Rattus norvegicus: one gene and its partner. The protein of the gene in region 1 interacts with the protein of each later gene in a biochemical or structural test. Links are inferred from orthologs where the notes say so. Each region holds a gene or a part of one and is shown on either strand. Other genes may lie near its edges.

What was found.
Region 2: the proteins of Cd6 (region 1) and Alcam form a complex in vitro, tested with the Homo sapiens proteins (4 studies listed by BioGRID and IntAct). The link is inferred for Rattus norvegicus from reciprocal best matches to the Homo sapiens genes CD6 and ALCAM.

Annotation. Positions count from the first base shown.
Region 1 is NC_086019.1:216,903,672-216,907,957, forward strand, and holds the start of Cd6 (T-cell differentiation antigen CD6 precursor), read right to left. Parts: upstream 2,854-4,286; 5' UTR 2,776-2,853; coding exon 2,727-2,775; intron 1-2,726.
Region 2 is NC_086029.1:61,986,895-61,990,714, reverse strand, and holds part of Alcam (CD166 antigen precursor), read right to left. Parts: intron 2,895-3,820; coding exon 2,762-2,894; coding exon of another isoform or gene 2,703-2,761; exon of another isoform or gene 2,664-2,702; intron 957-2,663; coding exon 918-956; exon of another isoform or gene 915-917; intron 620-914; coding exon 502-619; intron 1-501. UniProt on the Homo sapiens protein: Cell adhesion molecule that mediates both heterotypic cell-cell contacts via its interaction with CD6, as well as homotypic cell-cell contacts. Promotes T-cell activation and proliferation via its interactions with CD6.

The DNA of each region.
Region 1 (4,286 bases):
AAAAGCAAAGGTTATATTTGCTATTAAGGAAAACAGATTCGTTTTTAAAAATTAAACAATCTCTCTATGTACGGGTGCTGGGTGTCAGGCTGGCCTCTCGCACACGCTAGACAAGTGCTCAGCCTCAGAGCAGCGTCTCCAGCCGGAAGTACGTGATTTTAAAATAATTACAAACTGCCTTTTCAGGACACAAAAGACTTCACCCAGTAACTGGGAAAATGAGGACCAGGGAAGGATGAGAGCTCAATCAATTGGCGAATTAGAAACACTGGGTGGAAACTGAAGTTCCCATCCTCCCTGCAGTTAGGGCTTCTAGTTCACAACTCAGTCTCTTTCCCACATTGGATGATCAGGACACTGAGGCCCGAACGGGGCCCAGTGAATCTGTCTCCCGATGTCCTGGTCACCCAGTAACACACAGGCCTTGCCAGAGGTGAGCTGTGTGGGACTCAGAGTAGAGAGCCAGGTACCAGCCCTAAGCAGAGGAGAGTTCTGTGGCTCCCAGGAGAGCTGGCATCCACTAACCCCTGGCATTCGCCAGCCCCTGACTCCCAGAATAGAACCAAGCAAGTTTGGACACCATTCCCAGACAGAAAGCTCCAGAACTCTCTCCTGGGCTTCACTTTCCTGCTCCATTTCTCCTTATTGCTTGTTACTTTTTCTACCTTTTCTTTCTCTTTTCTCAACATCCTTTCCTCAAGCACATGTGGTCCAACACAGATCTGCCATCCCATATGCAGTTCCAAAGACCTGGGCCCAGCCAGTAGAGTCTGCCAAATCAGGCAGGAAGGAAGGAACATTCAGTCCCTGGGCCCAGAGACTCAGTCTCCTAGCCATCACCATGAGGGAGAGAGACATAGTGTCACTTTAGGGTGCAGTTTTCTCACGCCTCCAAAACTTGCCCTTTCGAGACATCCCTCCATGGGACATAGACCATCAGTCACCGATCAGAGAGTATTGACCAACAAGGGGCCTGTTCCCTGCTCGGAGTGACCGACAAATTCTGAAGAAAATAACGATTCAGAACCAGGATGTCCTTACCCCCTCCCTCATTACCCCTCTGACTGGGAGAGAGGAATGGTGCAGGCCTCAGGGCCTTGGTAGCACCATGTCAATTGCCTCCGATTTGGTTTTGCCACCATTTATTTTCATGCTTTCCTTACCCCTTTAATTTCTGGCGAATGATAAGGCTTTTCCACTTACAACATAACCAAGTTTTCTTTCAAAACTAAACTCCTATCAGTAACTAAAAGCAGGTCAACTGACATCAACAAAGGGACAGGAAGGAGCTGAGGGTACTGATATTGTGCATGGGGCCAGGTGCAAACCATACCAAAGGGTAGACTCTGGAGCCCGCCTGCTGCTGAGTTCTTGCCTTCCCATAGACATCACCCTGGAACCATCATCTCAGACCAAGGAAGGACCCAGAAGGACCTATCAGCTTCAGCACAAAGGGCTCGGTATTCCGCTCATCCCCAGCCCTCATCCCTACTGGGAGGCAGCAGAAAGAGAAGGAGCTGGCTTATTTGAGACTCCAGTCTTAGCAGTCAGCAGTCTTTTCCTTATAGGTATTAATTCTGAGCCTGCTCTGGGCCTCTTAGGAAAGGTGGGGGGGGGGCAGTGACACTGATGGACATGCAGGAGGTCTTGCAGTCGGCCTGGGTAGAAGAATGCTGAGCTCTGAGAGCTGCTTTGGAGACAGCTGGTCAAGAAAGGACAGCAAGGGGCTGGGGATTTAGCTCAGTGGTAGAGCGCTTACCTAGGAAGCGCAAGGCCCTGGGTTTGGTCCCCAGCTCCGGAAAAAAAAAAAAAAAAAGGACAGCAAAAGCCCAGGCCTCTACTGTGCAAAACACATGCCAGGGGACTTGGATGATATGCCCGAGGATCCAGACAGAAAGAAGGCACTCCTTTAGAAGTCCCCTAGTGCTCATAACCTCTGACGAGCTTATATCCCTGTCCGTCTGCCTGGGCTTCCCTTCTGTAGGGCAGACCTAACTCATTAGACCATAAGTCTGTTTCTCTACCATCTTCCTACCCCGAAATGTGAAAGCCCACCATGTACAGGGATCCCTGAGTTTCTGCTATTGCCTGTTTCTGCTAGCTTGGCCCTCAGCACTCTATGGCACCTCACGAGTGTCTGGTGACTTTGGGCATTTGCTCCAGAACCCCAGTTCAGGCTTCAAGACTACTTCAGCACTTGGAGGCAGCTCAGGAGCTCAAGAGCTTTCTCGATAATTTGTGTCTCAAATTAGTCCAAAAGGTTGACCCCAAAGTCACTATGAAGGATGGTCTAGAGGTTCCCTGGGTCTCCCTGAATTATGTCTCTGCTCCTGGTGAACTCCACTCTGGGGCTTAACATGGAAAATACTGTTGCTGGCTGGTCCACCTTCTCGGAGGAGTGGTTCCTCCCTTCCTGTGACAGGGTGGGAGTAGGGTGCTTCCTCAGCCCAAAGGTGAGTAGGGTTCTTCCCTCCTCAGACCTAGGACCCAAGTCAGGCACAAAGCTCATTCATCTCACTCCCACGAGGCCTTTTAAAGACGAGAGCATCATCCAACCCTTTAAGGGGTCCCTGTGTCATCTCAAGCCCCCAGCTGTTGTCACACCAGGATGGTCTTAGTTAAAAGACTCTACAAAAGTGGCCACGAGGGAACAACTAGCAAGAGGCCAAGCAGACAGGACCCGGGTCCTCTAGCACAAGCTGTAAGAGGTGACAGAAGAGATCTACCTGAGAGAACTGCTGTCAGCAATCCAGCGATCCCAAGGAAGAGCCACATGTCTGTTGCCGGCTCCAACTGCTACCCACGCCTGCCTGTAGGAAGTGCCATCCTGATTCGGTGAGGCAGTTGTGCCACCGACGGCTTGTCTCACCGTGCTGCCCTTTGTGTTCTTGTTCTCAGCGCCCTCTGTGCTACACACTCTCTCTCCTACACACAGGCCCAGCCTGTGAGTATCTCACGCCTCTACCTTCTGCTTGTGGTTTTGGTCTCCAGGAAGCCGGGCTGTTGTTACAGGGGTGCTGTTACAGGGGTGTTGAGCGGGGGAGCCCAAGCTGTCTTTCATAAGCCCACCAACCAAAGTGAACCCTGAGACTCACAGAGGCCCATGTCCAATGAGCACATCCCTGGGGGTCTTCCAAAAAAGACAAAGAGGCTGTGCCTTCTTTCTTTGAGACAAAGAGACAGTTCACTCCCAGAGATGCTCTAGTGTCTGGTGCTAGAAGAGTGAATTAATGCTTCCCTGCTGCCCCTCCCACAGAATCCAGCTCTCATGGGATTCGGTTCCAAGGTTTGTGTTCTCTTTGGGAATGTGGAGACTAAGAGGCAGGAGGATAGGGTCTTGATGGACTTTCCTTTGCTTGTGTGTGTTGAGGGGTATGCCATGTGTGCAGTGTGTGTGCATGTGTTCATGAGCGTGTGTGCATGTTTGTGTGTGAGAAAGGATGCACAGGTGTGTATGGTATGTGTGTGGTGCCTGTATGCATGTGTGTGGTATGTATGTATGTGTATGTTGTGTGTGTGTGTGTTTGCGCGTGCGCACACGCTTGAAGCTGATGTCAGGAGTGGTCTTTAGTTCAACTGTTCTCTGTTTATTTATTGAGGTTGGGTCTCTCACTGAATCAAGAGCTCCCAATTCTACTAGTTTAGCTTACCCTGGGCCCCATCTCTGCCTCCCAGGTGCTAGGATTACAGGAGGCTGCCATACCTGCCAGGCTTTAATAAAGGTTCTGAAAGTCTGAGCTCTGCTTTTCATGCTTCTGTGGCAAACTACTGAGCCATTTCCCCAGTCCTGGGGAGACATAGAAAGGGTCTAAGCTTTTCCAAAAGAAACCCTAGAGAACAGGGGATCTAAGAGCAGGACTCCCCCACCTCCATGTGCCCCAAACCCAGGTGGAAGTTGCCCAGAGGTGCCAAAGAATCTGGATCCCACCGTTGAGGACTGTTGGCTGTTTATGTTATAAGGACTGGGCAGGAGGGCAGGCAGGTTCTCAGCAGATGGCCTCGCAGGGAGGCTGCTGGAGGAGGAAAAGATTCAGGGAGGAAAGGGCTGGAGTGGGAAGGGCCAGGCTACCTGGAAGTGCTGGGTAGTGCTAGGAAGTAGACTGTGTGCAGTTAGCTCACCAATGAGCTCCCCTTGGAGCACATAGTAGGTGTTAGACAAGTTTTGTTGAGAGAATGCGGGAATGGATAATTTGGCTCTCTAAGCAGAACTCTATATATAGAGTCTAGGAAGAGACTGGTTCCCCATTCCAGGCGTGCCTCCTAGACACGACATTTTCTGGTTCTCA
Region 2 (3,820 bases), on another chromosome or scaffold:
GGCCAAAGTAATGATTTTTTTCCACCTCTTAATTAGGTTCTTACATGGGATAAAGTCATTTAACTAGAACATAGATGATCTCCTCAGTTCAGTGGCAATTTTATTTCTGGCCAGTTCAGGCACACCTCAGTCACAGGCCCCGGACTATGGACCTTCTTTGAACTAATCTTTATGAACTTCAAACAAAAACTTTAAAATGTTTTACATTTAGGTCATATGTGCTTTAAAAAAATTACCTAGGTAGAAAACAACAACAACAAAAATAACTGGTCTCAGAACGTTGACTTAACAATGCTAAGGAGACATGAGCACAGTCCAGGCCACATCCTTGATGGTTGGTCCTGCACTCTCTATGAAGTAAAAGAAAATGTGGTGTGCTCCATTTGGTGATGTGTCCATATTAGTCTAGAAATTGCCCACAGCAGGGGCAAGCACACTCCGCATGCTGGTTTGGTTCAGGTCAGAGGCTGTGAAGAGCAAGAACCTTTCTGTACAACTTACTTCGATTTCTTCATGTACAGCCAGTAGACGACACCGGCGACGAGGGCGGCGAGGAGGAGACCAACCACAATGCCCACAATTAGTTTGGCCTGGTCATTCACCTTTTCTCTGTTTTCATCTACGACAAAGAAGAAAAGTCCGTGTAGCTATAGCCAGTGCTACGGAGTTTAAAAGGAAGTTGGTGTTGTGTTGACAGATTGTTAATGACAGCTAAGGATCACTACTGTGGTTTACATGCAAACTTGTGATTTTTTTGAAGGGTAAAGTTTATTTTTTAGAATTTTGACTATCTTGTCTCATTTGGTATTGAAATTCAAGTCAAATTTTTGGACAGCTAAGAAAGTCACTCAGACAAGGACACTTCGTAAGTCTTGAGCTGATAGTCAAGGAAGGAGAGTCTGTGGCATAGTACCTACCACTTATATCGTCTGCCTCATCGTGTTCTGGAATACTTACTGAAATGAAAAATGTTAATATGAAATTAAAAACAAAATCTGTTGATAAATGAAAGACACCTTTACCATTATAGTATGATGTAATAATACTTAGATAAAACAGCTATTCTAGAGCTAAGGGTAAAGAAAAATCACACTTCATAGAGCAAAAATTTCCCTACAATGTTCGTACAGAGGAATTAATCTTAAGGACAAGAGTTAAGAATACACATATTTTAATGTGCTAGAGAAAATTTATAACCAATAAGCTGCAGTATTTATCTAAAATCTATATTAATTCCCTACTGTCTGTGTCTTTCACTAGAATTCCTTTTTGGGAGGAACAAGAGGCCCCTGTTAAATCTATAATACTGTGTTTCTCATCTGTGCTCGACTTTCTCTGCCCCTATTTAGGAGAATTCATTTCCATTTGTTGGTGTAAAGGGCTAGTAATGACGTCCTCAAATCAGGAGTTGGGGTTGAGGTTATATGTAGGGTACTTTGGGGATTACATCATCCCCTATATGATATTTGCCAGACTTCCAGGTTGCTGATTGTGCTGTGGTTTTAGGTTTCATTAAAATTCAGTGCACTCCTGGATTATAGTTAAATTACATAAATATTCTTTAGCGTGCCTAGAAATGCATCAGAATTCTCCGTGGTGTTAGATTACAATTCACTCCTACATTCCTCATCTTAAGTGCTCAGATAGGACAAAGTTTGAAGATGACTGCTTTACATATTGAGAAAGCTGAACTATCTCATTTAACAGGTTAGTGTTTAAAAAAAAAGTTCCGTTAAAACAAAAGAATAAGGCTGGGTTCTCTCTAGGTAGTGCAAATCAATACCCAGTGAATTGCATTGTGAGAAGTCAATGATTGTATTTTAAAGTTAATTTTGTTTAGTTCTTCTCTCCAGCTCATCCACTGGGCCTTTATATTCCAGTAGGAATGTGAGGGACCATTATCTTTTGAAAATGTTTTGTCCTATAAATTCCTAGCTATTACATTCGAAACATACCAATGTAAGGATTCCAACTGGTCAAGAAATAAACATTTGGCAGCAGGTCAGCTAACATCCTGTGTAAAAGTGAACCTTACTCTAGGTCAGTCCTGGTTTAACGTTGCCATGGTAACATAGCAATGGGAATAGTAACGGGCCTGAAAATGGTATCTAATTTTCCAATAAATCATGGTTTTCAAAATGTTTTCTCTCTCTCTGAAAAATATATAAGCTAGGATTTCAATATTGACAGATACTTCAATTTTCTCTAAGATGATTTCACCTATTTTCATTATGATTCAAAATCAATGAGAGAAGGGAAACTTTACAACCTGATTTGTATTAATTCTTGTAACATTTTTGCTACCAATTTGTTAATTGGCCTAATTTGTGGCATTTCTGTATACAATAGGGGTAGGATAAAGATATAACAAACTGTAATGCAAACTAATGGGGAAACTAAAAATTTATTGATTGTATACCTTTTACAAGATTATTTTAAAATAATCATGGAATTCTCTGACTCTGGTTCCTTAGTGTGGATTAAGTACGGGCAACTGGTTTCTTATTTTCTCATCCTATCCTGGGAAAAGTGTCTGAGTCCTAATATATGAAGTGACTTAAACTGTGAAGACAAGGGTAGTAGAAAAATGGAAACCAGGAAAAAAGAAAACAGAACCTCATGGCGATGATACCAAAAATGCCAAACAAAAGCGTGAAACTTACCATGATGCAGTACAGGGAGATGGAGCTGAAGATGTTAAGCTAATGAAGAATAACTTCAAATTTTCTTACGGTTTTAATGCCAGAAATGAAATACTCACTCGCAGAGACATTCAGGGAGTTTACTGTTCTCTCCAGTTGGTTTTCTGCTGTGCAAGTTAATGTAACATTCTCCTCAGGGGAAATGATAATTTTACTATAATACCTGCCATTAATATAAGGAGACTCCTCTGTCTGGAAGAAGAAAGGAGAAGAGTTTAGAGATGGAGATGCACTTTGAGTCTGGGAAAGAATAGTGGCAGATGCCATGGGCCAGTGCGATGTCCTACGGTCTGTTTTTAAGGGAGTGTGGAATCCATAGATAAGGACCGTCCAGGTCATCTACAGCTTTATAGTGGGCAGAAATGAGATTAATAAAGCAATGATAGCATCTCTCTGTCTATGATTCTTTGGGGAATTTTAACACAGCAATCAGCCTCCCTCCCCCCACTTCCATAGATGCTCAGTGTCAGTTAAATTTTTCATGATACTTGTTCCTAAGCATATTATTAATCTTGTTCCCTTCGAATGTGTTTGTGAATGAGGTCAGTGGTTTTTTTTTTTTTTTTTTTTTGAGGGAGGGTAGACATCTATCCTCTTATATCAATTCTTTACAGAGGGCATCTATTCTCTTATCTCATATCTCTTAATCATAAGATGTTACATCCAAGTGCAATATATATAGGATTTGTTTTTTGATAAATAAAACTATTTGTTTCTCTTAGACTTTTTCTTTGTCAATAAAAAAGGTGGATCTTTCAATGATGGCTTAAGTGCTTTGGTTTTTCTGAGGTACAAATCGGGCTGTTTCTGGATGTGATACACTCAAATGTAAGAAACAATGCAACAGTTTTGATTTGTATTTCCTTACTAGGAACATTTCCTTAAGTGCTTCTCAGCTATTTCTGTCTGATCTCTCAAGAATTTCCTGTTTAGATTTGTATCCCATTTTTTGAGGTTCTTTTGTTTTTTACTTAACAGACTTTTCACATATATATTATGGTTTCCAATTTTGTATTTCTATGGGACCTTTGAGGTGAGAATGTATGTATTTATGTGTTTCTTGTGCCTTTTCTTTCCCATATTCCAGTTTGTTTTTAATCTTACTTTATTTCTTTTTA